Styela clava: one gene and its partner. The protein of the gene in region 2 purifies or fractionates together with the protein of the main gene of each other region. This does not show direct contact. Links are inferred from orthologs where the notes say so. Each region holds a gene or a part of one and is shown on either strand. Other genes may lie near its edges. The genes, in order: COP9 signalosome complex subunit 4-like and serine/threonine-protein kinase stk11-like.

Region 1 (16,894 bases), on a different chromosome or scaffold from region 2:
ATTGGGACAAATTTTCTAGGGTGGGATTCACATATTTATCCCCATAGGAAAGTCGATAAGACGGCTTAATCATATGGCGAACATTGGGTCTTTTGTCCGGTTATCATGTCGGGAATGGGATCGGGTATAGTTAGCCAGTTCTTAGTTGTCAGATGCATGATGAACTTGATGGTGAAGGAAGCCGTAACCGACCAACATCTACGTGAATTACCCTGCGGTGACCAGGAGTCCAGCAAACCTGCGTAACTAACCCCGCATGTGATTCAAACCTACGAAGTGCCGATCCTTGAGTAAGTCCGCAGCAAAAGTCATAACGAAACAATTATTGACTGAGTATAAGTCGCAATGGCATGAAACCAGGAAACTTGCAACCTACCGGGAGCGTCGACTGTGGTTTCGTATGGTACCGAACCCGTCCATTGTAATGGCACACAAGACAAACTGGCAGATAGATACGTATGTCATGCGACGCGCAAGTGCTAACAACTCGTGAAAGTTGGAAACGGAATAGGCAAGGTTTCCCTTTGAATAAATGTAAGTTTAGAGTTGAACAAAAATATGTACACTTTGTGTTCGATAAGCTCGTAACCCTTCCTGTCGTTAGTTGTTGTTAAATTCGCGGCCGAAATTTTACCCATCAATCCTAAAAATTTTCGGGTTCAATAAATTTTCAGAATCTTATGTACAAACCAACAAAGTTTTTGTCAAATCTCGCATTTTTGCATTGTTGGCGGGGGCTTTATACAAGAGATCCATTCTCAGTCAGAATAGATAAACGATAGTTTTGAGTTCCTCATACAACTTTTCTTTTTTTTTCTGGAAATTTAACGGGTCCGTGATGAAAAAGATTTCTAAAAAGAAGTAATATGTAATAATTTTTATATTATCAGAAAAAAGGGTTCTAATTAAATTCGTATTTATAATATAGATATTTTTTGTTTTTCAAATTTAGACTAATCAATGAGCATATATACAATGAGTGGAAACTTGCAAAGATTTGCTCATTTTGGTATTGTTCCCTGCATTTTTACGTCGTCCAGCTAAATGGTTCGTTGCATATTAAGAAAACGCATTGCTCGCTGCCAAAATCCCTTGCTTCAGCCAATGAGCATATATACGCTCATTGGACTAATTCATTAACAACAACAACACAATAGCGAAACGCATCTATGGATCCATTTCGTGTCTAATAATTGTTTGAAATTAAATGTCTAGGCCAAGTCTAGGTCTAACTATGCGGATATTCGAACAAATAATTATTTGGAAGGTCTGACTCCAAAACAGAAAGGATTAATAGGTTGATGTGTTCAGCCGTGATGTTTGTTAATTCGATATAACAGCAAAGGATCAAGAGTCTGCCTCTAAAAGGTTCTATTTTCTCCGGTAATATATTACAATGGAATAGGATTTACATATTTATTTACGTGAACCACACTACGGCGGCGAGGAGTCCAGCGATCCTCTCACACATAACCATTCCCGCATGGGATTCGAACCTGCGAAGTGCGAACCCACGAAGAGTAATCAAAGGTGCGGTGGCGGGCGTATTCCTAACGCTTAGCACGGTGAGCCACTCGGCCGCGCCAATAAACTAAGTCACATCAATGACATTTAACAACATGATGCGCAACTCCGGCATTTTTGTCCGAAGATCGTATTCAATAGCACGCTCCAATGCACATACTTGACGAGACGAAAACGAGCGGATGTGTGCTGCTTTCAAGGCGTAGCACAAATGGTGTTCGTGCCTGCTTTGACAATTGTTGTCGATTTTAATGATATTTTGGAAAATTGAAGGTAAAAAGAAATCGGAAAAAGGTAAGGTAAATACTATTGTTGTATATCACACCCGGACATAGCACTGTTAAGCCAGCTTTTGTCAAATACTACGAAGTTATCAAATCAATACGGTACGTAGTTGCCCATTTGCCGAAATTGCATATTTACTTACCCTTTATGGTTTCAAATAGTTCATGCACCTCCATTTAGATTTTTCTAATCAGTGTAGAAATATATACTCATTGCTGTAGCATACTATTGCTCATTCACTTTTATTTGCGTATTGAATCAAAGGGTTAACAAGTTCACCTAACATTTTACTCATACCGGTCTATATTGTATAGTATGATCTCTCAAGTATTTAGAGCCACGAATGCTTGTAATTTTCTGACTAAACCCTTTTATTAGTTGATTTATATACCAAATTCAGTAAAACATTTTTTACATTAAACATGAGATATTGGATTTATTAGCTTTTCCATTCTAAGTCATATAGACTGCTTTATTTATTCTTAACGAAAATTAATAAATCTCCTCTCTTTATTCAGATGTGAAAGTTGTGGACAAACCTGTCTAAGCATTGTGAGACTCCTGCAGCACAAGAGGCAATAGCAAAAATAGTAAGTATATTAATCAAAAAATTAAGCCGACATAAAGCAAAACTTTCAACTATTCGTCTAATCTCAATTTCCTATTATTTATTCACAGGACATCTGTAGCAGAAGGGGAGATATCAGAAGAAGTCTGGCGACATATCAGTGACAGTGTGATTCCAAGAAATATAATTAGAATACTCCATAAATGTTTGCAATAGAAGAACAACCTATGAAGGCATGCAAAAGCATTTGACCCTCCGGTAGAGTTGTATATGGCCCCTACAACCTGCAAGGCTTGAGGAAAATAACTAAAAATTCTAATGCGTAAGATTGCATAAGCGGTCTTCTTTGTGAAAAAGCACAAAACATGCCAGGCATACTTAAAACAGCTTTGAAAAATGAGGATTACGGGTCACTACACCTATGTTATATTTGGTTCATCAACTTTTGGTAGTACTATAGAAAAAATTCAGGAAAGGGTATAATCATGATTCATGATAAAATACTGGTATATATTTTGGACAACTTCAATCTAGACCAAACTCGCGGCCCCAGAGAACTTCCAGTGCGGCCTCGAAAGCTTAACAATAATTGTAAAAGTATTTTGGAAGTTTTTTTTATCTAAATGTAACAGATTTTTCAAACTTTTTGAAGTGAAATTGAATATTCACACAGAAAACAATTTACTAAAAGTAGTTTTGAAAAATTAATTTTTTTTGTTCACATTTTAACCCATTTAAGAATACACATCAAGCTAGCAAAAGAATACTTGAATAAAACACTTGAGTTATTAAATTAAACGCAAAGTACATGAAGAAGGTGGCATTTTCGAAGAAAATGGGAGTTGCAATATTTCTGCATTTCACAAAATTCTCTGAAGCACATTGTTTAATTTGTCATATTTCCATCAGTACAATGAAAAACACAATAAGCTCAGCAGTCAATATGACAAATTCGAAGACCAACTTCGAACAGAAAATTTCCATGTGTTTGTATATTAATATAATTATACAACTTTTTTGTTACTAAATATCAATAATAATTCAAGCAATCCTATGCCATGCAATGTGGCGCGAAATGTCTTGTCGAAAAAATCTGTCATTTGTTTTTTTACTGATCTATACATGAAATGATAAAAGTAACTTTTTTGCATTACTGGAATTAATTAAACATTCGCAAAGATCCAGATTAACCCATGATCATGTGACCTCGTTAGTTAGAGTTGGTACTATAAAATTATTTCATCCTGGCTTTAGTATGCTGGTGACACAAAAAAGATGCCAAACGTCAAAAAACATTGAGTTTATATTTTAGATATTTTGTTAATTTTAGGTCCATATATTTAGATTGAGTCATTTTTTTAGTGTATGTATTATTCTTTCCTTATCCAAAGCTTGTTCAAAAATGATTTTGATGGTTGTACATAAAATTTTATGATTTTTTGTAATAAATACAGTAACTTGCAATAATAGTGGAATGCAAATATTAACATGAAATTGCATTTGAAATTAAAGAAAATAATAAAACTTAATCCAACTGTTTAGTTGCATCCTAATATATGCCACAAACTAAAACTATCTTGAAAATATCTTTCAAGTATACATTATCAAAAATTGTTTGCGGCACTTTTTATAATTTCCAACATGCAATGCGGCTCTCGAAAACCCATGAGTTTGACACCACTGATCTATTCTAGACAATTCAAGCATTGCTTTGGGAAATAATATCACTTCAATTGAATTGAAAAAAAAATTTGCCGTATTAAATACGAAATCGTTGCTATCATAAAGGTAAACCAATTCAGCCACTGGGAATATATTGGCCTTCACAAAGCAATGGAGGCAAAATTGAGAGTTCATGGGCTATGAACTTTTGTTCTTTTCTTTGTCTTGAACTTTTCATACTCCACAGCCCCTAATAATTTTTTTTTTAATTTTAATTACCGTGTGATGGTCATACATATCTTTAACTTGTATTTTCTGTAATGATGTATTATCTCAATGTGTCAAACTTTTAATTAGTGTGCATATTTTGCTTCCAGATGACATAAATGTATTGTCTTGTTTATTACCTCAGCTTGGAGTATTGACCAAAAAAAATGTGCCAGTAAATTCTTTGTTATAATCAGAATTCACAATTAATAGGAATTATAAACAGCCACCAATCAATGAGAATTACATGCGAAATTCCTCACAATAAATTTGTCTAACAATGTGTAATAAATTCACCTACTAAAGCAAGTTCGATAGGTGCAAACTTTGTGTTATGGAATTGTATCACAGCACCGTTAAGAGAAGTAAAAACAGTTTTGCTGTTTTGTGTGACACATCTTTAAATGAAATTTCAATGTTTAAGCGCAAACATTAAAATTACTAACTTTGAACTTTGTCATTATCTGCAAAATGTCCCACACAAATCTTTACTCTATCGTGTTTGTAATCTTCTCTGATAAAAAAAAGTCTATGATGTCCAGAATTACTCTTTACAGCTTGTATGTCATTCCAGCTTTCCAAGTGAGCAAAACTTCTTAGATATAGAGATTATTTTCTTTCGTTACAGGCGCAAAAAGGCAGGTACTAAACGTAAAGAGGACGCCGATTAGCAAAAGCAAGCGGAAAACGGTCGCGAAAGGCGACGAGAAATATGTGCATTGGAGCGTATCATGAAATACAATCTTTCGCATGTAGTCTTATGGAGTGACGTCAGAGTTGCCTATCATGTTGTTTAATGTCATTGGTCACATGAACAACTCGCACTTATAAGTTATTATTTTGACAGATAAAATTATAGCATAGATTGTACAATTGTTTTTCGAGTATCGCATTTAAAAAGGAACACACAATTTTCATATCACTCGTAAAAATCGCATCTTTCTTTATTATCTTACGATGTTCGTTTTTCGAAGTGGGATTTTTGTTCTTTCTCGATTATTTCGAGACTATTCTCATGACAGAAATCCATGTAAAACAGGATAAATCAGTCATATTGCTGATAATCACACCAGGATTGTGCATAAGATAATAAATGGCGGAAAGTCGTCCGCAGCGTTGCAGTCCTACCTCGAAGAGGCTCAAAAATATACCCAAAAAGCCTATATATTGATCTTCTAAGGACTCTTCTACCTTCCGAACCCTTCTGTCGATACCGTGAGCAATTACGATACCGCATTCAAACCTACAAATATATCTAGACTCCCATTAACAGCATAACAGAAGAGAAAATGTTCAATAAAAGTGAAAATTTTCGCATTGGAAGCCCGGGATAGAGACGAAAAATTATATCGAATCTGTAGGATCCCAATCAGACAGCGTCACCCATGACAAATATGAAAATCCTATCATAGTAATCAATATATTTATATAAACCTTCACGGGTCACAGCCGGATTATGATTCAACAAATTGCAATGGCTCAGCTTTAACAGAAAAATTCTACTCATTGAAGAGAGGTTTCTGATACAAAACATTATATCCATCGTGATTCGTTGCTGACTAACAAACCAACAAACTGGCTTCTAACAATAAGTAAAGTCATCCATGTGTTTTAAGTATATTTTTTGCAATGTTTCTCATTTTAGAAACTATTATGGTTCCATAAGTCCAGATTATCGCAAAAAAAAGAGTCTCAAAGGCCAAAAATATCATTCTATTACCACAGGCTTTGCGAAACAAATTGAAAGCATTGATTACTAGGTATTGCAGTAATCAAATATTGAATATAAATATGCAAAACTTTACTGAAACAATGGAATTTCAACATTGACTGTGAACCTCTACTTCGATACAAAGGGTGAAATTCTGAACGGCTTTGCACAGAGTTGAGTTAAGTTGCTCACAGCTCTTAAACTTGTAGACACATTCATAATGCGTAATCTTCAATATCAGTCTTTGGGTGAAACTAATTGTTCCATTGTTTCTGCGGCCCAATCTGGATGTGCTGCTGTTATTTTATCAACCAGAGAATTGAGTTCCAAACATAACGATTGAATTTGAGTGTCCCACATTGGTAACATTTCCCTTGCTTTAAAAATAGATGGTACATTTGATTAATTTTATTTTTCATCTTGAATAATGCAATTGACTGCATTTGAGTATATTGCTAATGCTATACGATAGCAGAGTAAAATAATATAAACAAGCTTACTTTCAAAATGGACAATGCCATCAATCTGATCAATATAACCACTCATTCTGTTTTCACTTATCATCTGTGATGCAATTTTTTCTGCCTAAAAAGCATCAATGCAAACAAAAGGTTATCACAGCTTCACATAGGTGTATGTTAACTGCAGTGGGGATGGATCAGTGTTTGGGATGTTTTCTGAGTCATTAAATCAACCAGAGTTGGACTCATATCACCATTTATCAAAGACTCAAGCCATCTAAATTAAAAGACTCCAACTTGCCATCACCTAACCACCAGTGAAACTTAACTCAGAGATTGGCTCGACTTGGGGCTTCGGTACTTCTATTCAACACTGGGATAGATATATAAATCAATATAGCTTTGAAACAGGGCTTCCTAAATTTTTAATCTCGCAACCACTTTTTAATATATAATGTTTTCAGCAACCTCTGTTTAGTCAGCATTGTTATGCAAGCGCACATCTTCTCGGGTTTTACAATCAAGGTTAGCATTCTCTGATCCCATGTATTCTCTTGAAATTGTAAAATTCATGTTTTGCACCAGTTTTAATAATTGTGTTTCCAATCAAAAGTCTAAAAAAGTACAATACATAGAGTACTATGTGTGGAATTGGTGTACTCTTTGCGCCCCCTAAAATCCGTGCACGGCCCTCAGCAGGGTGTGACAATCAGGTTGGGAAGCCCTGCTTTAAAGAATAACCTGTATTTGTGAAATTGAGCATCGTGTATAAGTGTCCAAGGTAATGTTCAATCTAGAAATCTCTCGTTTATATTATATTCTAATGACAAACAGAATAATACCTTATCTGCTGATATCTCAAGGAGAGCGCCGAGGCCCTCAAATGTAATATTGTTATACAATTTGCTGGCAGAAAGGAGATTGTGTTCAGTGACAGCACGATCAAGAATACTTGTTCCTGTGAAATATAAGTCATAACTGTATTTTATTTTTCATCATATAATTGTGAAAATATGGAGTTTCAAGGCAGAGGGAGATGTCAAAACACTACTGACTATAATCTTCAAAACCATTTGCTGAAATTCTAAATATTAAAAAAATTTTCACCTAAAATGGTTCAACACATTCATTAAAAGAGGATTTTCAAAAAAAAAAATCTCACCATCTGCTGTTGTTGCTTTTTGATGAGGCATCAACTGGTTGGCGAATTCTTCTAATTCATCGGCACGAATTATTCTGTCTAAATACATCTTCTCTAATATACCGAATGAAGATAATTGCTGACATCGTTCATCTTTGAATAAAGTTGCCAACATTCTTGATCTTAAAGATTAAAATAAAATCATACTTTCATCAGACAAGTATCGTAGTATTTCAAAAATAGATACAATAAATCGAACATAATAGCGCACTGTCAATTGCTTAGATTGGGTTTTTATTCATACATATAGCGCATCGGGCAATAAGACACAACAATACTCGTTTGGATTGTAGGCAATAAGCAAAAAGAACTACCTGATCCATACATTAGGCGCACCGGCTTATAAGGCATACAATCGAAGAAAAGATTATATATAAAGCATAACAGGGTGGTCCAAGGTTGAGAGGTCGGCGGGCCGCAAAATTTTTTGTGGATGTTTTGCGAGTCGCGGTCAGAAAAAACCCAAAATTGATCTAAACATCGCGACTTTACGTATATTTAGAAAAGAGTTTTTCGTCCTAATCAGTTTTTTAATAAGGTAGATATATAAAGCATTTAGTTATTTTAAAACTGCTCCTCGAGAAATACAGTGGTATTTTCGGTATTCTTTCTTGTGTTCGGTTTTGTATTGTCGCTTCAAATTATATTCTTTCGTGACAGATATTACTTGAAAACACACCAGACACTGTGGTTAAAAGTTGTTGTGGGTTAGGAATTGCGTTTACCTCGGTCACCTTTTTTTACACTCATTGTATGATGAATTGTTATATTTGACTAAGTTCATTACTTGTGGAAAGAGCAGGCTTGGTGCTATTGTCAAAGAACAACCAAGTTCGTCTAAGTTGGAACTCCGGACCCAGTTAAAAAAAAACTGGATTGCTTGGCTCTAAGTCAGCCGAGCCACATGGCCAACGCTTGAAAATAGAGAAGTGCTTTAATAAAATAAAGGCACAAAACAGCTCTCCAAATGAGGAGTTGCTTGACGCGAGCTCAAGGTACGAATTTTTGATAAAAAGCACGACCCATCTCATCGGCATGGTCCTGTCTGCACAAGACAATCCATCATCTTATACCGATCACAGGCCGTCATTCCCATACTGGCACCGTATTGACGTTTATAAAAACAACATTGAAACAAACATGAATCCCAACATCGGGATTAGGAAAAGGGCTATTCCCAGTTCGCGGGAATAGTTTAAAATAACTCAAAAATGTTCTGCCAAAAAATACAAATATCTGCCAATGATTTAGTGCACAACACTGCACACTAAAATTGTTCTGCGGGCCGCACAATATGTGTCGGCAGGCAGCGGTTTGGACCACCCTGAAGTATAATATGATACATAGATTATAACCTGATGGAGTAATTTACCTTTGCTGGCCAGCTGGAGCCAATATTGCACAGTGTAAAGCTTTTTCTAATGCTTTCGTTCTTTCGTCCTCATGTATCGTAGTTCGATATGATAATTCATTGTATCGTTGAGCAGCTTCAATAAACTTTCTGCGGTAATCTAACACTCTTGCATAACATACCTGAATAACATATGATTTGATATGGACATTGATATTGATATAATAACATACTTCAACTTTTCAAATTGCATTTTCATAAATTTGGTACAAGAGAGATCATAAGCCATGAGGTGTAGGGGAAAGGAAACTCAAATCAGAAGAAAGTTAGCAAGCATCAGCAAATACCAATTGAACTCAACAAAGTTTTTAATTTTTTAGGGTTCATTTAATTCTTTTGCTCAGAAAACTAGCATTGATGTGAAAATCATTAAAACTAGGGCGCTCCACAAGTATGTGCACCAGATGGCGCACAACCTGATAACCCTAACCTGGTACACATATTATGTTCAGGTTGTGCGCCATCTTGGTGCACATATTTCGGGAGCACCAAAACTTGCAGTTAGGATCAGAGAAGTGGAGTTGGCGTTCTACATTCCTACTGATTATGAAGTAGGATATGGGGCCTTATTTTCAAACCTACTCGAGTCTGAAGTCGATATTTTGAATTGTACAGAGTTGGGAGTTGGAACTACGGATTTTTATAGGATGGTATCGGAATTTAAAATTCGAAAACAATTGAAACTCATGAACCATCAGGTTAAATAAACATTCTCAACAAAGTCAGCGGTTCCCAAAGGGTGCGCCGTGGCGATTTCTAAGTGCGCCCCGAAAATTAACATAAATATGTTAAATATAACTAATATATGATTGAATACTCCACTTCTGTTGTTGTATTTATTAAAAATGTTTTGTTTCTTTTTTTAAATGCTGTTTATATGAATAAACAAATAATACATTTCACATTTCTATGCTGTTTACTTTCTGTTTCATAGTGTCTGCCTTTATTGTCACGCAACAATAGAGGTAGACACACAATGCAATGTCATGAATTATCTGCTGTACAGAGTTAACGAGCATGGGTGATTTTTTTAGTATTGACTTTTTGTCTTTATTCTTCAAGCCTACACATGTTTACAATCTTCAAAAGACATAAAGTACACATATGAAAGCAGCAATTCTTTTTCGATGGCGCCGCACAAACAAAAGGTTTGGAAACCGCTGAGGTAATGAATTGAAAAGTTTTCATTATGAAAACTTGGGTTTCTTGCAATTCAAGGCTAGAGTAGGAAGTCAAGATTTCGTTCAACCAGTCCGAGGTATGAATCCGCTGTAAATTTATCTTTTTTCTTTATCTATATAGTAAGAACCTCACCTTATAATGGATTTGTAATTGCTCATTTTTGGTTTCATTTTGTAGCATAGATGCTCTATTGATATAGGTTTCTGCCTGTACTGGATCATCATCTTCCAAAAATAATCTCGCAATTTTCAAGTATGTTTCTAACTGAAATAAGAAAGTACAGGTATTATACTTAGAAAAAAGGCTAAATGGGGGTCGCAGTAAAATCTTTTCTGCACTAACTTATGTTGAAATAAAATATCAGTCACATTTGGAAACAAATGGAGGCAAGATTTGATCTTTGGTGCGAGAATTTTATTATTTTTTTCAATATTTTCTGTATTATTAAATTTTACTCATTTCAGTTCCTGGGGGTTGCAAAAAAATTAGCTGTGCCAAGTGGATTGTGATGAAGAAAGTTTTAAGAACACTGGGTATCGTATCTCACTGATAACAAACTAACCCAAGGCGAATAATAATTGAGGGAAATTTCAATGATGAAAAAAGAAAAGTCATGTTCAGACCCATAATCACAGCCATATAGTTCATTATCAACTTTTTCAAGTTACACAGCTGAAACTGGGTATTTCATATTTTGAAAGTTACCTTATAATCATGATCATATTGTTTCTGTCCTGATTCAATGTTAATTCCAACAAGAATTGTAGCTGCGTCTTTCCATGATTCTTCATCTTCATAAACTTTTGCTAAATGTTGTCTGATTTGAGCAACCTGAATAGTATTTTAAAGATGTTTTTATGAGACGTGTACCTTTATATAAAAACAAATATATGAAACCTTGATAGGTTCATGAACTTGAGTTCTTATTACATTATTTGAATTTGAAATTTAAAACATGTAGCCTACTACTACGTAGATACATTTTGCCTGCACGCTAAAACTACCCTGATGCCAGGGAAGGACACAGTTTTAAACTTCATGATAGATAACCATATAGCCAACTAAACAGAATAGGATATATATCAGTTGGTTTAAATACCATTAAAAAAAAAATTGATGTTATATTTCAAGGAGTTACTCCAGGTGTAATAAGGGTGAAAGAAAAAAATAAAAGGGGGTTCAAACACAGACTTAATTTAGAAAGGCATAGGAATGATAACAAATATTCATGCTAAACGACTGAAAATAGATTACATCCCAGTTTATATCTAACCTTTGTCAATCATTTTTCATGAACTTGATAAAAATACCTGTTCTTCGAATGAAATTACTCTTGGTTGAATTCGATCCAGTGCAAAATGACAAACTTCTTTACACATAGCATTATTAAGCTGAGATAGATGTTGGCAAAATTCTGTCATCAATTGACGAGATACTATTTGACTCACATTTTCATTCACCACTAAAAATCAATAAGAACTAAAATAAGGTAAACGGATAATTACATATAAAGGGCCTAACATGCATATATTCGCAGTACTCAAGTTGAAATTTATATTCAGCAATACTAACTTGCATCTATAAACATCTTCAATGCGGAAACTTTTTCATTATCAACCAACTTGAAGCATGCTTCTAATATGTGTTGATATCTGAAATGTATAAAAATATAGACATGTCCTGAAATATGTTTATTTATGATTGATGACTAATACACAGGCAGACAGGTGAAGGGATTGCAATAATATTTTCAAGACTCCAATGCATTTACTGTGAGCTAGCACAGTTCTTTGTCTCTGTTACTATCAGATTACCACACTTTTTCTATGGACTGAGGAAAATATGCCGTTTGATAAGCTTGAAAATTTGAGGAAAGGAAGAATTTATTTTCACAAAAAAACTTGAAAAAACAATAATGGAAGTACACATTGCAGCATTGAGAAATACACATTGTCTGTGGAGACAAAACATAACCAGAAGCAATTTATGAATAGAAAACCTATGTCATTTTATAATAATGACAGAATAGTAGAGATTGAGAAAGTTTGAGGGCATAAAAATGTAAAGAAAGTAAATCTTATCCCAACTAGCCCAAAGATAACGGTAAATATATTAATTCTATACCACCAACAGCAAAACGCAAGAAAAACATGGATTCCTTACTAGCTTAACTAGGTAATTGTATATCAGTATATTCAGATAAATATTGAACAACTTCAAATGAACAATATGCCAAGGCAGAGTAAGACAAAATTGATAGATATCATTTGAATCATGTTAATTGTGTGATTCAATAAAATACATTGCTTAGTCCAGTAGTCAGAAGATGATCACTAGTTACATTTGCAAGCATAAATTTATCTCACCTTTCAGATAAATCTCTATGTGAACTGCTGGCAGCATTATTGAGAACAGCTAAATCAGCGCGAATGTTGGCTGCCATATATCTTTTTATTCGGATAGACTTTTTCTCTTTAACAGAACTGATAATATCGGAATCAAGAACTAAATTTTTCTACATACTCAATAAATGCTCAAATCCGTTGAAACTCTCAGGACTGAAAATTTATATTTAGCAATAGAGTAGAGGGGGTGTTTTTTCTATGAAGCACTAGCAGTGACTACTGAACTGAGAAAGAGGAACGGAGGTTAATTTCCACAAACTATGCGATTGTGAACACTGGAATATAATACCGAAAAATATTGAAGAAAATTTCTGGTGTCAAAGGTCGGGGAAAATACATTTGTACAACACAGCGTGGTTGCAGTTAATGGTTGTAACTGGTTTTCAAATAATAAAATAGAACAATTTAAACAAAACTTTTAACTTTAAGTCAATAACTAATATTCCCAACACACTTTTCGAACTGAAGAACCGAAGCAATAATCGCAAAATCGATCAAACTGTTTTTGTTTGTTTTATGGGGATATTTTGTTACGTATATTTTCTATCAATGTATATGATGTCTATCATTGCTACACTAAGAATATTATGTTAATTAATGGACTTGAACCTGCCACCCTGTTGTAATTTTCAAACATTTATTGGTGCTTATTCCTGTCGAACACGAGACCAATCGCTCATTCTCTGCTGCTGGCGTATGACTTCGTCTACACGTCTTTGGTTTTTACGCGTGTCGTAATGTCGTTGACTTGGTGTAGTTCTGCTGCAGTTGGAGAAACAGGGTGTTTTGGGGGATACGATACGATAAGTTATTATATGTTTCGTTACTGTAGAAATTTTTGAATCTATCGTTATCTGTCATATATTTAAAAAAATTCGATTTATGTTAGTATAGTTAACGTTAGCCACACGACGGTGAGGTCAGGATAGGTTACGTTTATCAAATTATTACTGTAGCCTATTATTGTTTGTTCATCCTGTCTCCGGATTTCATAATCAGTTCTTATTTATTTACCAATCATTTTACTGTTATGCTGATTATGGAGTCGAAATAAACTTATACTTACAGTCTCGATTAAACCTGTAAACGTTTGCGAATTTTCGGTTGGGTTTGCTTTTTTGTACCAAGACCCCAGACTGGATTCCATGGCAGGTGCACGCCCGAGGGCGCTAGCGCTCCGCAAAAATGCACGCGAGCGAAATCAATTTTGCACGCCGAAAATTTGCAATTGCTCACCAATGTAAATCGGTTTAAATGGTTTTAAAATCAATAATCCAGTAATATAAAGATGCCAAAATATTATAACTCCACAATTGTCGACAAATACCAGCTTGCAAGATTTGGTCTGATCGAAATATTGCGAAGCAAAAAGACAATGGACCTTTCCCCAACCTTTGACCCGCGAAAAATTCCTCTCATTGTTACGTCCTTTTTTGCATCTTGCTGATTGGCCAAAGCCACGAAGTAAACAAGGAAGTCGATGCTCGGGGAAAGGTCCATATCGTGTTGAATGATAGGAAATAGGAATCCCGTGAGAATAGTTATGGACGAAAAGATCGCCTCCGCACCAATGGCCAAGTACGGCTCTGATTCAGCGTATTTTTTATACAATAATTTTACACGAATGTACTGAACAGTACCGGTATCTAAAGTTGCTCAAACACTCCCAAAATTAGTGACAAAGTATGAAAATAATGTTTGGGGTCAAAGGTCAAACGTCCATTTTGCTCTAATTTGACGTATTTTTTATCCATTAATTCTACGTAAAAACACTACCAAAATTAATGACTAAGTATGTCCATTTTGCTCTGGTTCAACGTATTTTTTATCCAATAATTTTACGCGGATGTACTAAACAGTACCGGTATCCAAAGTCGCACAAACACTCTCAAAATTGGCGACAAACTGTAGAAATAATGTTTGGGGTCAAAGGTCAAACGTCCATTTTTTCTCTGATTCAACGTATTTTTTATCCGATACCGGTAATTTTACGCGGATGTATTGAGAGGTATCTGATGTCGAAGTCAGTTGCACGCGAGTGCAGTTGTTTTGCACGTCGTGAGCTATAATTGCACGCCAGGAATTCTTATTTGCACGCGGGAATTTCTGATTGCACGCCCGATTTCTCGTTCAAAAAGGCCATGAAATCCAGACTGGCCAAGACCTGATAACTGGATAACAGAGTTCAAAATACCATATCCTATTTCAGTATTTCATCATACTAAATTTGAAACAAAAATATTATTAGCTGAGCATGAAGATTGTTATTTTCCCAAAACCTGTAAGTTAAATCAGCCTTTCAGAGTTAGTTCCAATTCTGCAATAAGATCAGCATATCATTTTCTATTCAGGCCCTTGAGTATGTGAGAATGAGAACTTAATTTAACTTTTATTGTATTATCAGGGATCAAACATGGGCATTTTCTCTACTGATTTTTATCTGTATTTATATATTTTTCTTTTTTTTATTTCCTAATTTTATTTCTCGTTTTAGATTGAATCATGATAATTCTCCAGTAATTTATGTAAGCTGTTTTCAGATTCAAATTTACTTCAGTAGGCTACTTTTTACAGTACCTGGGGGGAGGGGGAAATTGATATTTTTAACATTGTAAGCCCAATAACCAATTTGACATAATGATCTTTTTTTCCTTGTATATCTGTAACATATCTCAGTATCTTGTTTATATTTTTTTCCTAGTGATCTTGCCATCACCATTTTATTTATGTTTTTTTCCTTTGAAATTGAAATTTTTATAGATTTATATTTGAATTCAGGTATTCTCAATCATATATCTGTATATGGGCCATTCCAAGCAAATGTTAAATTTCATCAATTTATAAAAAAAAGTAATTGTGAAAAAAGTGAAAGTAATTGTTTTGTATATTTTATATCAAAAGACAATTGAAGGTTATTGGACTGCATTCATTTCATGGATAAATTTAAAATTACACCCAGGTTTTTGATAATTTACACAAAGTGGCCTGAAATAAAGAAATTTTGGACCTCCTGAAGGAGGCGCAGTTCTTACCACTTCATGGCAGCTCCTGCCACGAACGTACCACGCCGTCTCCTGCCATGGTTTTATGGCGCTATTACCGGTATATTTACAAATTCATGTACCATATTTTAGTTTATCATGCGAAATTATATCTACTTAAACCCTAACCCCAAATCCATCCAAACTGTATCCATAAGAAAAACATTCCAACTCACCAAGTATTTATCACCATCAGCAAATTAGGGGCAGCCCTGCTATTACAGCCGACCTGCCGTGGTTACGGCAGTAAAATTGGTGGTATTCGATTTGCTGCCGCAACCACGGCAGCTCGCTATTGGTTTGTGGCAGCTAAAAAGTCAGTCGCCGTGGGTTTGGTCTTAGTGGCCATGGTTTGGAAATCCCGCCATGGTTTTGCGGCAGCTGTAGACGCCACAAAATACTTGAAACTGCACTTGTCCTGAAGTGTGCGCACCAAGATGGCGCACAACCTGAATTCAGATTGTGTACCAGGTTAGGGTTCAGGTTATGCGACATCTTGGTGCGCATACTTCAGGAGCACCGAAATTTTGATATAATAGGCACGTTTTGTGATGAATCGTAACATGAAATGTTTGATTATGTGGTACAGTTATTTAATTTCAAATACAGAAATAGATGCACTGAATGCGCTGCTCCTAATGCGCTGCGTGCAATGAGACTTTTAGGGTACCACCACTAATGGAACTTAAGTCAATAAAGCCTAGGTGTTTGCAGTGCTGTAGGACATGTCTTCATCTATCTAACAATTTATTACCAGAATTTTAAGAGATGATAGAGGGTGCTGTTCCAAAATGGGGCAAATGTTCTGTAGAGTCATGCCGGTAGAGTAACATACATTGTGCCCATTATTGGCATGGATCTACAGTTTTACATTACGGTAAGTTACTTATTAAGCAACTCATAGAGGGGTTCTTCAGCTACTGCACCATCAACACAGTAAAACGGTAATGCATGGTGGATTTGCTGTCCTGTGGAGTCTCGCTATATTTTAATATATATTTTATATCCACTAAGTAAGTCTTGTATGTAAGTTTTGTGCAATTTTGTTCCAACCCCATAAAGCAACTGATTGGACAATAACACAAAACTTGTAGCTGGAAATGTAAAAAATAGGCTATTGCATCTAACAACATGCAAAATTTCTAAAATTGTCCAGTAGCGTCACTTGGAATAGCC
Region 2 (17,441 bases):
TATATACCTTGATCTCCAGAGCACTGCAAAAATACCATTCTTCGAACTACAAGATACATCCTAATTAAATGGTTAAATTTGACTAACACTATTTGATGTAATGAAGAACAATATGTCTGACAGTCCACATCCTTGTCTAACACTTGACATATTGATATTTTTGTAAATTGGACAATTTCGATCATGTATTTGGCAAATATTTTATTTTCGGTCTTCTAACATTGCCAAGGTAATATATATTCACTACTTTAACTATTATTTTTATTAATTTTTCATATAAATTGCCTCATGACTGTGTATCTATAATACACCAGAATAGCAATCCTTATTATCGTACTAATTTTGTAAAAGTTAAAATCTTTTTAGGTTCTGTTGGTGCTATCTTAACAGGTGCTTTATAAGTTTATTTCAGTTTCAATTTGAGGGCAGCAATCGTGACATGGGTTTAGCCCCTTCCAGCAGTTTCAGGCTGCTTTGTTTGTGACCCATCACCTGAACAAGAAATAAACTTCTTGAAATGTTGACTATCCCAGCAATGGTTGTTTCAATCTTTTTCAACCTATTGACAAGTATTTCTTTCATTCCATGACGCTTGGTTCAAGTTCCCGCTAAGTATTATTAATTTTACAAAATATAATTCCGAATTTGTTCGAAAATTGTGTCTCATATTGCAGTATATTATTTTATAATTTTAATTATTATTTAATGAACGTGCTTTTCATTGTTTCTCCAAAAACCTAATTTCTGTAATATTATCACATGATTAAGATTTATGGAAGTGTATGTTTTGGTGCAATAAATTACCTGACTTAATCAATCCGTTGGTGCAATATTTTGGGATTCAAAGTACATTTTTGATCAATCAACCTTTAAAGCTTTGCCGACGTTTTTAGTGGAAGTCTTTGTATTCGGCAATTATTTTAGTCGGGTCTGCTAACACTCAACTGGCCCCTATTGATAGAGAGTTCGTATGGGCTAGTTAGACTTGTGGGTGAATTGAAATCGAAAGATATAATGACGAAGTAGTTTGGGATACGAAAATCTGTCGATGTTCGGTTATCTGCTGGAATATCAACATTCCCTGAAAGTCATTGGATGTGCGCTCTGAAGTAGCAAACTGTTCAGAACTTCTTTATGTGGGAAGCAAAATGCATAAAATGAATGAATATTACACAACTTTGTGTGGTTACTGATTATATGGAGGGGTGGTAGACCAATGCTGTCCATACTTTTGTCAAGGGAATCTTGTGGTCCGGTCACGTCATGGACAAGTTCGTGATATCTATATTAGGTTTGATTTGACTTCGACCAATGAGTAGGCTATATATGATCACTGCGTCGACGGACAATATACCTTCTGTACGTAATCGTGTTGCCATGAATATATTACTTTCATTAAGCGAAGTGATCGTGGTAATTTCGGAGCTATGTAATGATAGTCAATAGTCAATTTTATTTTTTCCAACCAGCAAAAAAATAACATACAAAATCAAAAGATAAACAAAATTTAACACACATTTTTACTGGGGAAGGGAAGCCGCGGGGAACCAAATTTGGTTATCGAGCAGCGACACCCAAATGATATGATGATATGATTTTAGAATCACGGGTAGGGCAACATGAAGCCACAAACAGACAAAATATACAACGCAATGTTTTGTGCATATAACGTAGCCTACGTATCGCTCAAATATATATTTCCCGTAATTACAGACCTGAACTTGTTATCAGTTTAAAGTTAAGCTTACTATGATCAAATTAGTTTTATGTGCGAATTCTTCGATTATGCATCTATCGTTTGTTCAAGCACTTCTCGCCTACTTGATGAAAATGGGTCGTTGCCAGCCTAAGAACTCATTAACGATCTTCGTCCGCAACATACATACATGCCTTGCTTGATTCTTCTGGTAATAAACAATGCGATTGCGTCTGGTCGTCTCGTCGAATAATCACGTTCAGCTGCTAGGTATACATTGTCGTAAGAACGTGGTTGTTCGAGTGTTTCAAATAGTGTTAGAAAACACGGGTTGAGACAAGGTAGATTCAACCAAGATAAAATTCAAAACTTAGAATTAAATATTTATAGATATAAAATGAACTTAACTGGCAAGAACAAAGTAGACCTTGCCTATGTCATCTGTCTCGTTTATTTTCTCAATCCACTTTCAACCGGCAATTTGGTTAGTAGTTAATTTTTTTCAATTGTGAAATTTGCACAAAAGTACTTCATAGTCCCTTCTTCACTAAAATCAATGGGGTATATATGCTCATTGCTAAAACCATAGATATCGGGTGATATTCGGGGGCTTTTTACGGTGAGTAACAAAGGGCTACAGTGTAGGAGCTGGAGTCGCATTTTCACATTTATAGAATTCAGCATTATTGGATTTCGATTTCATGAAACCGCTTTACTACCTTCAAATAGTTGTAGCCTACCATGTTCAGTTACTTTTTACGCTAAGTCTGAACCAGCGTTGCAGGTGTCGCCACGTGAAGACCTATCGGGGCCCCCGCGACTCCGTTCACACAATTAACGTTAACTAATTTCTTTGCACTATTTTTTGAGATGAACAATAAGCGACAACTGGCTAGCTTGGTCACGTTACTACGTATGTCTCTATGTTACGGAACTGTTTATGAACGCAGGCAGAATCGGTGTCATAACTTCTTTATGTATAAATTCAGATATGTTTTTTTTTAATTAAACCCATTTATTGTTGTTTAATCACAGAATTGGGGAATCTTCATGCACCCAATTCTGGCAACTTTGGTTGGGCAACTTGGCATTTGACTCCAACTATAATCAGCTTGGCAATATGTTTTCAATCGAATCTCCCTTCTATATTTTAATTAACGATTAAATGATCGATCAATTTGACAATGGCAACCATTACAAAATTATCAATATGGTGTGGCAAATAATTTTTTTCTTTTTCTAGTATTTATTTTTTTTTTTGTTTTGTTTACTGTATAGTATACCCTAAATTTATCGCGTTTTATTCTTACTTAAATAACTTCTCAGTGATTGAGTGTGTGTGGCTGGTGGGTGCATGTGAGCGTGTGTGAAATAACTTAATAATTTTAGGTGAGTAAACACGTACCACTTCCTCTTGGCAAAACCTCCCATCTTATATTTTGTACGTTATAAACCTTATCTAAGGTTTCGTTTGCTCCCCTGATTTCATAATCAGTTTTTATTTATTTGTTTTTATCTGTCAAATGTATTGTTATGCTGATTATGGAGTCGAAATAAACTTATTATTATTATTAATTACCGGATTGAAGAGTTCACAGTCTGACAGTGGTCAGTGGTGATATCACGTTTTCTAGTTTTTAATTTGATTTCCATTCTTGGAACAGCATGTATATTTCTGTGTGTTCGAGGACTATAATAAACTTCAAATTTCAGTGCATTTTTCTTTTCTGGCCAAAAAACAGTTACAGCTTTAGTCTATGTAAATGGGATATTTGCTTGCTTTTGCTAGATCCTGTAGTACCGTACGGTATTCCCCTATTTTTCTACTTGTTATTCTATCACTTTTGAACCTAATTTAACATAAGTCCAACAGAGATGATCATCTGTACAGTATGTGAGCAAATTAATAAAATTCGATTATTAACATTATCAGTAGTCATCTATATATCCAGTATACATGTATATCAATATCAGTAGGCTATATGTTTTTCTTGTATGTCTATTTGCCTCTAAAAAGTTGAACTGATCAGCCAAAGTGGAAAAAAAGTCTTGGATCATCATGATAATCTTAGAGCTGTTTTACCTATTTTACGATTCTAATATGTGGATACATAACTTATATAATTTTATCCCACTTTATATTCTAATCAAAATAATTCTTTGTAATATGGAATACTTCAATCATAACAAAAAATTTATATTCTGCCGAAGGGAAGCTTTCAAAAAGTTATCAAATACTATAATAATTGTATTAACTTCCACAGACCTAATGGTTCATATTCTTATGTCATTATTTGATTTCTCAGAGAAACTATATCCTAGAGGTGACAGTAAAATGGAGGTCAGTTCTGACAGTGAGATGGACTCCATCGAAAACTCACTTCTTAGTCGATTTCAAGCAATGGGAACCACAGATAAGGATGTTCTGATTTCTCAGTTTCAAAGCCTTTTAGGATTTCAGTTAAATCCCGCTGGATGTGCATTTTTTCTTGACATGACGAACTGGAATTTGCAGTCCGCAATTGGAGCATATTATGATTTTGAAGGTGCTCCGCAAAGTAAGTTGCCATCAATGACATTTATACTTGATGTTACAGTCGGTGAGGGCGAGTCCGTACCTCCAAATACAACATTTGTTAAAACATGGCGAGTGCAAAATTCCGGGAAAGAGGAATGGCCACCGGGGTGTAGTCTTCGATTTTTAGGCGGAGAAAAAATGGGAACAATTGATTCAGTTTCAGTTCCAACAGTACCTGCCGGACAAACAACAGACATTTCAATTAATTTAAGAAGTCCGGTGGAACCCGGTGTATATCAAGGGAGATGGAGAATGTATAACACCACAGGGACTCCTTTTGGTGATATTATATGGGTCATAATATCAGTTAAACAAGATGGACTTCTGGACATCACACAACAAATTTCAAGAGTTAGCTGTGACTTTGGGGAGGGTGCTTCGGTTGGGAAGAATGACCAATTTTCATCTCAAAATATGAATTCGATGGAAACCTCACCAGAAGATGACATGGCTTGTGATGATCCTCTGAATGGATTAGACTATTACAATGCAAAATTAAGCCTAAAAACATTATGTCATGCGAAAGCGCTCCTAACAAGTAAAACTAATCAATATTATGGTGCCACCAAGGTATAACAACTTTGATCATAAACTTTTTTATATAATTAATATTTATTTAATTTATTCGGATCCTTCCACTGCAACATCTTGGTTGTGTACAGTTAATTGTAAAAGTAATGTTTATTTAATGTTTTTGTTTTGTATATTTTTTCATAACCAGTTTGTGACTAGGATTTGGATGCTGGACTATTTTTTTCGGGATATCTTGCAACCCTGCATTCATCAGTACTTTTTTTTATGTTGTCTGCTATTTGTATAAAACCCCATTATTTGTATTACTGGTAGTTCTCCATCTGTCAAATCATCACACAAACGCTGATGTGAACTCATTTAACGAGGGTGCAAAATTCACAAATATTACAATGCTCTACAATCCACACCCTCACTCTTTGATTTAAACTTGAATATAATAATCCATATGAAATTGTAAAGGATGCTATTTGTTGTGCTTAATTTTATTAAAGGATCATATTAAAAGTCAGTTTCTCTGTTTGTCACAACTACTCTAACACGCAAGTTATAACTAGGAGTGTGCATGTCTTTTACTCTGTTTTGTAAAAGTTAAATATATTCTGATTTAATAAGGGAGATTAAATTTACTTTTTTACTCGAGGCTAACCCCATATGACAACTCACGTGACCAGTTCAAATTTGCTTGTTGCTGCTTTTTTGTTATGCTTTCACATCTTCAAGTTTTCAAATGCATGGATTTAAATGATGGAACTATAACAACCAACCTATGTGGATTCGAAAATTGTTTCAAATTGAAACAAAATATAGGCTTCCTGCCCATAATCTATGTTGGTTTTTAAATTCATAGCAGAGTGGTGCTGTTTGATGAGTCCATTTCCTTTTCTATATTGGCCCGATCTAAAAAGCGGTAGGCAAAATCAAGTGCTCTGTTCGTTTCCTCTTGATAATCATCATATATTGAAGTTTGGTGCACATGGAATTCATAACTTACCTTTTCTGTCCTCGACCATATTCTTGGTAACATTGTGGTACCCAAATTAAAAACTGAAAATTTGTGTTGTGTTGTTTGATTGGTAATATATTTGTAGGACTTGATTGGCAATGTGCAATTTTTCATTTCAAGAGATTTATGATGTGACACTGGAACTCCATTAATAAATCTAACATTTCTTTGTGAATATTTTTATCAAATTTTAGAAGCTATTGTAAATTTATATTTTTAGACATATTGAAGTATGTTTAGCATAAATTTATTAGATATTTTATCTAATTGGTTTCAAACAATAAATGAAGTCTGCATGAACAACTTATTTTCAAATCAAAATGCGGTTTTTGACGTATTGAAAACTAGATTTGTGATATCTATATTTACCATTTGAATTTCCTATATACAACCATTTTGAAAGAACATTTTAAACTGGATATGTTTCACTGTCCTGTGAATTGCTGAGCTATGGGATTTTCTACTTGTTTAGTACCTATGGGCTTTAACCCATAAATTTCTTGTGATAGGTTCTTAGTATTTTCTTGCACAGTTGTTTTACCGATTCCATACTGGTATATCAAATTTTGGTCTAGCCTTGTATTCTTGACACCATAATATTCGCAAATTTCTACAATGTCTGAAAAATATATAATTACAAGCATTTCACTCTTTTGTATCCTGTGTGTTGGTTAAAATTTAAACAATCATAAACATCTGTGGAAATTGAAGACATTTAGATCTGCTGTCCAATCAAAATATGATCGGAAAGCTATAAAATTGTGAAAAAACTTATCGCTGGAAAAGAATGAAAATAGCGCAAGAAAAATATTGATTCAAATTAGCAATCACAGTATAAGTTAGAGGACATTCTCGCAAAACAAATTAGGAGACAGGCGAAACTTAAATTCCCGAATGGAAGCCAAAGTTTTTTTAAATTCCGAGTCAAATGTATATCTCAACCGACTCCACCTCCTTGGTAGTTAATTACTATAGTCCAAAAATGTTATTGATAATTATCGAAAAATAAATATACCACCTGTACGTTTGTTTGTTCACAACCTCACCTCCGTTCAATGAGGCGGTCTAATAATACACAAGCAGTGTTATCCAATAGGAGAATCTTTGGAAAACGGAGTATTCGAATTTCATCGGACCAAAGAAGTGTTAGTATAAAGTACAGAGTACACACGATGACTAAGCGGTATGGCGTCTCGTGTCGAGCGTTAGAAATACGCTTAAAATCACACCTCTGACAACCCTGCTGCAGCTCGCGGAATCGAATCCCGCTGGGAGATAATCATGCGCGAGAGGATTGCTAGAGATAGACTCCTTGCCGTCGCATGGCGATTGAACGGTTACGGCTTCCACTATCATGATATCGATGCATATGAATCAAATAACTGGCTAACTAATGTAGAATAGGATTGTAGTATTTCTTGAAGTAATCGCGAGGTACGATTCGTGTGAGTTTCAAATAATTTTATGACGCTAGCCTTTTCAGTAACGGGAGAGCGCATTTTAGCAACAACAACAAAAAATTTGGTACTCCTGAAGTATGCGCACCAAGATGTTGCACAACCTGAACCCTAACCTGGTATACAAGCTGAGTTCAGGTTTTGCGTTCAGTAGGTTCAAAATAATTTTGTGTAAAATAAAAAAAACAGATAAACACTTTTAACTCTTTTTTATAGCTTCGTCAAAGGTTTTTACCTCGTTTCCGTATCATCATTGATAATTGTATATGCTGCGTGAATATCATAGTTAATAAATGTTTTCGTTCTGGTATTTCAATATCAAAATAACCTAGAAAAGTGCAGAATATTTCTATTATTTTTTATTTATCTCTTTATCAAAAGATATTGTGACCTGATGACGGAGCAATCTGTGCTTTACAATTCACTCTTGTCATTCGTATATTTTTCAGAAACTTTAATGTTGATTCTTTTGAATGCTCAAATAGGAAAAATTAACTCTGGCTCTAATTTTTAAACTGCCATTTCCTTAATCTGAACCGTTCTAGACGACCTTGTACTGAATGATAGAAGTTATGGTTCAAGTTAAAAAAAAGAAACTTGCTAAATGTGAATGTGAATTTTTGAACTGTCATTATAACAAATCGAAAATTTCAAATTTCAAATATTCGCTAATCAGTAGTTTCAATATATAAATATTATTTTGAGGAACCGAACGAGACATTGTTTCGACTTGAACGAATAGCTGCGACCAATGACATTAAATGACATTGTTTCATGTCATTGCTGCGACCAACAACTAACGTTGCGACTGTTATGATTAAAATCTGTTCTAAAATAGAGCATGTTTAAAAACACGTGTAAGATTATGAAGACGAATTTTGGAAGTTTTGACTTATTTACCATTTTGAAACCCGATTTGGCCAGTTCAGTGCAACTTCTGGGTGTTTCTGGAATTGGATTTTCCGACGCGTCTGTTTTATTTTCTTATTTGTAGGCTATTTCATCCAATTCTTCGTAAGCAGAGTGTATTCACGAGTCTGAAGCCATTGGTGGCCTCCGTCATTCCTACTGAAACACACGAAATGATGATAAAATGATTACTGTAAATAATAATTATATGTTTTAGCTTGAATTTATGATAGTGTTGTGTTGTAGGTTGGTGTTGATGCGGAAGCGATAGCGCTTATCGTTACTTCATCAGAAACTCACTCAGCCTTTTCAGCCCCACCTCGCAGCGGTAATAACGTTCGTGACTCCATGCGTCGCTATAGCTTTTTGCGGCGATCCTGCAGCGTTTCGTTCGTAGGTACTTGACAATTCGACGTGGGCACGGCAGTAGGCGCAGCCGCCCCGAGACCTCGTTTTATATTACTGTATTACGGTGTACGTTAAAAAGCGTAAGTTCTGATTCTCAAGATCTTTAAACTAAAATTGTAAAGATTACCGGTTATTTACTAATCACAGAATCGGGCTTACCAATACTGCAGTAGTCTATACAGTGATAAGATCGTAATTTTCTTATTACAATATTGAGACAAGGGTGCTGTAATTGAGAAGTATGCACGCTTAATGCTCAAGATGCTGTATACGTATATCATTGTTGAATATAGCGTAGGAATCTGATAATTGAATGGCAAATTGGGATCCAATTCAGCAATTTGAGTCAATTTCCTAACACAGTACAGCAGTAACAGCTTCTAGTCAAAAGTTGAGTCCTCTTCATTGAGTCATACAGTCATAAGTCAGTGGGTTGTGTAAATCCCATGAATAGCAGTAAATATGAGTCTGATTAACTAACCTCACACATGCATTGGGGTCAATCTATTTTGTAAATCAAACTGGGTTTCAATCATGTATTGACAACTAGGGCTGGGCATTTTCGAATACCGTACCTGATGATTTCAGAATCGAATTGAATATTTTTATCGAATCGAATCTCGAATACTTGGGAGTCAATTATATGCTAATTTTTATTGTAATTGGCTCTGTCAACAAATGTATTACTGAAAACATGAATAAATCACTAAGACAGATTGTGGAGCGTTCACACACAATGAAAAGCACTTATTTATCAATAACTCGATAAGAAAATAGTCATATGTCAGAATTGTATTGAAAATTATGGCTTCAAAAAAAAAATTGGGTAATTCACCTCGACCACTGACGGAAAGAAAGAAAAATAAGATGGCGGCGAATCAAAATTTCGATTGAACCGATTTGAAAATTTACTATTCGAATCGATTCGGATATTCGATTCGAAGTGCCCAGCCCTATTGACAACATTCACATTGCCTTCCAAACTGCCTGTTTTGAGGTATTGTTGCTAGTGCCCGATATGTGAATGCTGCTACAATCTGGGAAAGTTTTGGTTATTTCAATTCAGTAATCTACATATTTTACTGCGGGTTTACTTTCAGACTTTAGGGGTTAGTCAAGTCTTACTGTCTTAGTTCTAGTTAAGTCTTTGCCATCCTAAACTACGTACAATGCTCAGCAATGTTAAAATAGTAGAAAAAGGGACTGCATTATCCATTTATTGAGAATGATTTACTGACACCCTCTTCTGGCTATTGCCAGATTATGCAGTGAACAAACATATCTATCCAGACCAAATTCTTCATGCTATCTATACCGCCATTGTTGTTTGATTCATAAAGGGATGTCTATTGATTGAATAGGGATATCTAAAATATATACTTTGAACAAAGTTCGAAATATTAACATTCAGCAATCAAAAAAGTTATTTTCATTATTGCCTAATTTGCCATTTTTGCTCATGTTATAATTTGACACAAAATACAGAAATAGATCCATTCGGAATTTAAAAGAGTATTGATTGTAAGTGAGCGCAATACAGAATAGCAAGTTTGTCATCAATATTCATTATTTTTTGATTAATGAAGCCATTGTGTGGTCGATTTTCATGCCTCATTAAACCCATTTAAGCAGCTGCCATAGTTTGGAAGGACTGGAATCTTTTCGGGATTGTCCGCCTATTCTGTTATGCCCTGGGTTAGGTGGTGGGCATGATTTCCATGTTATGTATATGGTGGTGTACAAGTTGATAATAATGCATAAGAGCATATTGCGATGCTGCTTTGTACATCGTGATGACATTTTACGCCTTGTGATAATTTAATTTTTCAAGTGCTATTATGGGCTTGTTACATTGTGTATGACAGAAAGGTTCACATTTTTTTTAACTGACTGGCATTATTTATGTTCTGTGAAACATCTGTGATAAAGTTTTGCCAATTTTCAGTTCATTTACAAGTTTCAGAATATTACAAGTAGCCTATTTGACCTGTCCAATATGATACCATTTATTTTTATATTTTCAATGTTTACAGTGTATAGCATGCTTCATTTTTTGTCGTATTAGTATCATATTCATCTCAATACCAATTAAAGTTAATGACTCAATAAGTTGAAATTCCCTGTCAGTAGCTGCCGTTAGACTGCTGGCAAGTGAAATGTCTCATGGAGAACTTGCAGTTCTTGATAACAGGATTGAAAATCAGATGTCAGGTGCTACATTTGACGTTGGTGGATCGGAAGATGAATATCGACCAGACGTTCAAGAACATACTATGTGGATAAATCCAGATCATGGAGCCCTTTTTACAAGGTCAATTGAGTTGGTTTAATAAATTGTTTATTTGATTATGAATATGCACATATATAGGAATTATTTGTAATAACCAATTATTTTTCACTGTGTCTGCATGTATTGGTCATCAATAAAACCTTATCTAGGATTCCTGCTGTTTTGCCAATTAAAATGCCTAATATCTTCTTTAGCTTTACTTTTATGCATTACATATCCTTGTGGATTTTAGGAACATAGATGATCTCGGCAAAATTTCTATCTATACTAATTACTATGTATCCACTGTAAATAAAAATGGCGTGAATAAGAGGGTGTTAAAAAGGAAATATCAACAAAGGATTTTTATTTTATGAATAGCGTTTCTTGGTGTACATATTTGCATTTATGATGTAACAATGTTGCTGTTAAACAACTGTGCTAAATTCGTGCTAGGGAATTGCTGCATATTGCATGAGGTAGTACTATATCGAACATTTGTGAAAATTGTAATCTTTTACCTCAATATATTCCAACTTTCAGACGATTTGCCAAATTGCATGTCATAGCTCCTCAAAATATCTCGGAATATGCCAACCTTATGAACATCCACCCACCCTAAAATCATGGGGCAGACACCTTTACCAAAATATTCTAAACTTATGGAATTTGACATTGACATATAATATGCTAATTGGCAACGCTGGTCTAATATACTTTTCATGCACTTCTAACCAATGGGTTCAATGAAGCGATGTTGCCATGTTGATTTGCTAATCTGATAAAGCCAATCCTGAATTCACATTAGTAATTATTAAACGATTTGTAAATTCTTTTCAAGCAATTTATTGTATCTACTTTTTCTGTTCCATGTCATTTATTGACATAGTGCATTCCTACCCATACAGTATTATGTCGTCAGTATTTCAAGCGATAAAGAAACAGCATTTGGATCATTTCAACTCCCTATAGATCTATTTTCACTCATGTTAATCTTGTGGTTCAATGTCTTATCATCACCTGGTATGTCTCATTGCCTGAACCATAATTAAAAACAGCAATTGCATAACATTAGTATTTCCACAGGGATGTGTACAGAGATCCACATAATGATGAATGACTCTTAGCATGCGCATAAACGTTACCATTTGTATATTTGCTGTATTACTGATTCATTTTTATTAAGCAGTGGTTCCCAATTGTGTGTCGCGGCGCATTAGGGATAATTTTCGAATGGGTCACAAAATACCCATCTAATTTCCAAAATTTTTTTATCTGTCTGTATTTGAAACTTGACATAAAATGATAAAATTTTCAAGAAAATAGTACTGCTAACTATATCGGACATTCAGCTGCGATATATGATCGTTTATGTGCACAAAAATAAACTCACATAATGTAAGGATTATTGAATGTTTACAAATAGAAACTTTTTTTGTCTTAGTTGTTGATAGAGTGAAATTTTTTTTTCAATGTGGTTTGTATTGTTGAAATGTGTTTCGAGTTTGAAGTGTTTGAGAACCTATTATACAAAGTGACAATCTTTGTGGATATGACCATTTTTGTATGAATACTTCATATTCAAGTGTTGGAGTAGATAAAAAAAACCTTGTGGTAAAACAGGCAAACATCATTGTTAAAATTCTGATGCTAAATTTATTTTGTGCATAATCAATGCCCACAGTCTTTACTGTGTATAAGCCATTTGTAGCCATTTATAAGCTTGTTACACGACGCAGATTTAATTACAGCAGAAAAAGTGTGTGAATATCTTATATGAAGTTCTAATTAACAATATAAATTTTTAAATTTATATAAAAGTATGTGTATAAATATCATAGTTTAAAGAGTTTGACAGCTCAACAATGAGCTAAAATTTTATGAAACAGTAATTCTATCTTTTCGTTTAATAAGGTATATTTGGAATATGTAAATATTAAATTTTAAAGTGCAATCATTAAAAGTGACTTTGCAAATATACTTTATATTTCTTTAAATTGAAATATGTATCGTATGTAACTTGGCGATAACTTTTGGGGATATGAGCCTGCTATTCTGTTATTGATCATCTTTAAATGATTTATAGAATATATAATCCTAATGATTTTGGGTGGATGTTTCGGCTAGAGAATTGATTCGTAAAGAACAACTGCGAAAATCCAATTACAATATGAGGAAATTCTGTGGGTTTTAAAACTTTACCGAGTATTCTGAAACAAGTAAAGATCAATTTGGGCAGAGCCACTTTGAAAAACCATTTCACTTCAGGGAGCAAGTTTCATGGTTTCAGCAGAATATACATTTTGTTTAAACTTATCGCCATGATAATGAAGTCGCTATTTTAGGGTTCTTAAACTTTCATGATCAGATCCATGACCAGTTATTTATTCGCCATGTTAACACCACAATGCCAACAAATGAGAGAATGAACGCATTACGTAAAATAATTAGACAAATCACAGTTAATCTACAATAAATCAATTTAGTAATTGCTAATACTACCTAACCTAAACGTGCTTCAATCGTGGCCCCCAATAGGAATGAGGGCCCAGATTTAGAAACCCTCGGTTAGCTATTGTCGCGAAAATGATAGATAACTACTCGACTAGCAACATGTCATAATCTAAATTTTCTTATTGATACATTGATAACTAATAATAATATACCATTTTTCAACAGAGTTGATTCTGCGGATTTAATTTTCAATCAAAGAAAACAAGCAAAAATTTATGGAAAATATTTATTCGGTGATATGCTTGGTGAAGGATCATATGGAAAAGTGAAAGAAGTCCTGGACACGGAAACTCTATGTAGAAGGGCAGTGAAGATCGTCAAGAAACGAAAGCTGAAAAGAATTCCAAATGGAGAAGCGAACGTAAAAAAGTAAGTTGAATTTATTTTTTTCAAATTCTTTCTGCATACATAATATTTAATTAACTGATGAATTTCAGAGCAGTTATGTGGAATTCATCTTGTCATGGCTGTTTTTATGATCGTATTGACATGAAATGTTTAACTTTCGTTTTAATCGATGTTTACCAATGTACAATAATACACCATAATTCTTTCTACTGGGAGTCTCAGTAGCTCTTGGCATTTTAGTGGTCGACATTATCTTCGCTTACAGACTAAACTCTTCGATTTCTGCGGTTGTGCGTGTGACTTTGCTTTGAGCAAATTTCAAGAAAATCAATTGAAATTTAAAAAAAGGATAATATCATGTTTTAGTTGTATTTATCGACAATATATTCACTTGTTAGACTTTTAGGTCAAGTCGTTTTTATAACCTTCTCTAAGTTCTTTCTTTTAATGAAAAATGACATATTATGTTTATACTTTTGAAATAAATTGGAATATCTATATAATTATTTTAGCATTAAAATTTGAATTGGCCAATCTTCTGTTATGTTGTTATTTTGTATCCTGAACCTATTTGCTTTTGTTCGCAAACGCCTGTTTGTTTTGTTCATGTCTTGTATCCGCAAATATTTACTCCTCTTGGTAAATTCAGTGCCGGTAATTTAACATGGGCAAATATTTTTGCTGCTAAATAAAATTGATTTGTTATTATGTGGAATGTGAATTTGAGCGTTTGCGGCTTCGTGGACCTATAATTGATTACAGACATAGTACATAATTGAGCCTACCTACCGGTAAATATTTTTAAAATAGGGTATTGAATTCGGAAAGATAAATTACTGACACATTCAAAGTGCACCCAACAGGACGACCCTGTTCGAAGCGAAATATGTGAATAATTGTCGTATAAAAGATTTAAAAATGAAGAAATTTTCTGTTCTTCCACATTTGTATGGAAAACGGGTCGAAAAACATGCCGCTTCAATATAACATAAGAAACTACTGTCTTTTTGTGAAGTTTATCGTTTTCATGGTTCAGGAGAGCTCATTCAATTTATTATGCCATGGATGAGATGGTTGGCATGAATAGACCACCGAATGGGTCGGTGCTCAAATCAGAAATCTATCACCTGCATTTTTAACAATAGTTGGAATGTATGAACCATTAAACCATTAACTGTTGTGTATTACCAAATATCAAAAATGAATAACACCAAAATTTTCATTTTGAAGGGAAATAGAGCTCTTGCACAAACTACATCACAAAAACGTTATTGAACTTGTCGAAGTTATGTACAACAAGGAAAAACAAAAGTTATACATGGTCATGGAATTCTGTGTTGCAAACGTACAAGAAATGCTTGACAGCGCACCACAAAAGAAATTCCCTGTCTGGCAAAGCCACAAGTATGTTGATTGAATTCCTTTGAATCTGTGTTAGATAAATCGCATGCTGTTAACAGTGTGAAAAAATTATGTATTGCATCTTCAATCAAGTGATTTATCGTTAATATTTTTGGATTGGTAGGAAACTAGTTGTCTTTCTGGCTTGAGTAGATCAATTTTCTATCATTTTTCATTGAAATTTGGATAAACTTATTTGTTCAAAGCCACACAAGCCGCAGACAGAATAACAGTTCTTTAAAATATTCAAAATTAGCAAATGTTATAATTTCACTACAAGAGTCGACATTTCCAATTTAGAATTCAGGGCTTTTATAATAAGATCTTTCAATATATGGAATGTTTCAGTATGCCAAAAATCAGGTTTTTCAACTTATGATATCACAATTAGCCTAAAAACCTGCTACCAATTAACCAGGTAAAAAACCTGCCTAGATAATGGTATCATATTGTAAGAAGTATAAGGTGTTTTACCTGGTTTTAAGCTTTTTATATGAAAACATGAATGACATAACGCATGTGTTATTCTAAACCTTTTTTTGGTATTTGGTAAGATTAGATTTATTTTGTTTTGTTCGTACTACGCCATTCATTCATATGGAAAATAAGAATAAATTTTATGACTTAATAATCATATTCACCTTACTGTATATATCTAGAAAGCTGTTTTAAGACAAACCAAGATAGTAACGGAATATTATTATTTCTTCATTTTGAAAATCCCAGCTATATTTGGTGCTGTTTATTGTATTCAACAAAGGTCAAAATTCATTTGTTACACTTCGGTCACATATTTCGGTATTACCCATACATTTCAGATAGAGATAGAAGAAGTATTTAGTACCTTGTTACTCAAAGCAACAGTGTGAAATATATAAATTTGATTAACAGATGTACATTTAATGTTATGTACTGGGTCTAAAGTTTCGAGTTTAAAAGTTTAATTGCGTGATAATTATCTCACCAATGCAGAAAATGACTTGCACTATTAACTTTTTAATATCGGTAGCTGCAATTGTAATATATGGGGTATGGCCATCCGGTTTTGCTCATTTCGTCTTATCATTTTCAATTTGCTGGAATATGTTTGAAATGAACTCTTTTTCAGTTTCATCATACTTCTGTCTGTTCCCATTTTGTATATGCCCCATTGATTGAGTAGGTAATTCATCAATGGTTTATTTTGACAGAATAATGATTGCACACTGATAACTTACTGCACTGGGACTTGAATAACAAATTAGAAATTTAATTACTGGTACATTTGTATTTACTGATATGTGTAATTGATTTTTGAATATTTATAACAAGTTACAACTCCATTTAGAGAAACAAAATTTGAGCCCATGAAGTGGTTATCCAATATCTCTGTTCTACTTAACTGTTAAACCTAAAAATCAATAAATATTTTTAATATTTTCCTCTTTCAAATATGTATTGATTGCATGCAAGTGCCTGGATTCAAATTTTATCCTTCCTCATTAGTATCAAGTCTTGCATCACCAAAGTGTTATTCTCATAAGGGAAATTAATTAGTTACATTTGATTGGTCATGACTAAATTGGCTTCATTAATTTTTTATGTTCTATCTGCTGATTCGATTAGAGGAGTGATAAAAGAAATAATTACTTGTGTGTACCAGGGTGTAATGATTATTGTGTTAAACTCATCACTGGGGTCACCTAGCCGAGGTTCAAAGTGATTTGAGCTGGTTTAGTTCATTTCAGTTCACGACTGAAATCTGTGGATTCAACTTTGTAGAAATATCAAATCTGAAATTTCAATCACTCCAAAATTTGAAATACCCAGTAACCTTGAATTTAAACTTGTTGCAACACCAATCGTAATTGATCTGGTCTAGATTAATACGTCATGAATTTTCCTAAATGTTTTCATTTTTTTTCTAAATGTAAAGATTGTGCATGCATTTGCAACTTGTTTTTGGAAAATCATTGATAGTTCAAATTTAAATTCCACATCCCAGCAATACTTTTTGAAGAGATTTGTTTTGACTTTATTCCAAAATTTTTCTATTCAACGAAACATACTCTGTCCCTGCTACTTATCGTACTCAGTCTGTTCAAAGCACCATTAATCTATTACTGTATTCTCAAAGCTATATTTGTGGTGCATACGTGATCAATACCATATACCTGTTCTATATTGGCATGAAGTTGTAATGATTTTGTTTAAATTCTAACTCTAGTAATTTGCATTCAGCTTTTAGCTAGATATCATAATCTACCAAAGGTAGCAGTTGGGTATATCAGTGAAAATTATGAAATAATGAATCTCAAAACACTAATTGTCAAAATGAGATTTAG

What was found.
Region 1: the proteins of serine/threonine-protein kinase stk11-like (region 2) and COP9 signalosome complex subunit 4-like purify together in Homo sapiens (affinity purification with mass spectrometry; 4 studies listed by BioGRID and IntAct, with this or other methods). This does not show direct contact. The link is inferred for Styela clava from reciprocal best matches to the Homo sapiens genes STK11 and COPS4.

Annotation. Positions count from the first base shown.
Region 1 is NC_135260.1:11,651,064-11,667,957, forward strand, and holds COP9 signalosome complex subunit 4-like, read right to left. Parts: upstream 12,935-16,894; 5' UTR 12,716-12,934; coding exon 12,639-12,715; intron 11,925-12,638; coding exon 11,845-11,924; intron 11,735-11,844; coding exon 11,583-11,734; intron 11,104-11,582; coding exon 10,978-11,103; intron 10,537-10,977; coding exon 10,405-10,536; intron 9,213-10,404; coding exon 9,052-9,212; intron 7,802-9,051; coding exon 7,641-7,801; intron 7,437-7,640; coding exon 7,321-7,436; intron 6,603-7,320; coding exon 6,518-6,602; intron 6,395-6,517; coding exon 6,255-6,394; 3' UTR 5,713-6,254; downstream 1-5,712. UniProt on the Homo sapiens protein: Component of the COP9 signalosome complex (CSN), a complex involved in various cellular and developmental processes.
Region 2 is NC_135250.1:8,660,228-8,677,668, forward strand, and holds the start of serine/threonine-protein kinase stk11-like, read left to right. Parts: upstream 1-10,615; 5' UTR 10,616-10,741; coding exon 10,742-10,896; intron 10,897-13,533; coding exon 13,534-13,737; intron 13,738-14,946; coding exon 14,947-15,120; intron 15,121-17,441. Other genes in the region: protein ILRUN-like, read left to right, coding at 3,966-4,850. UniProt on the Homo sapiens protein: Tumor suppressor serine/threonine-protein kinase that controls the activity of AMP-activated protein kinase (AMPK) family members, thereby playing a role in various processes such as cell metabolism, cell polarity, apoptosis and DNA damage response.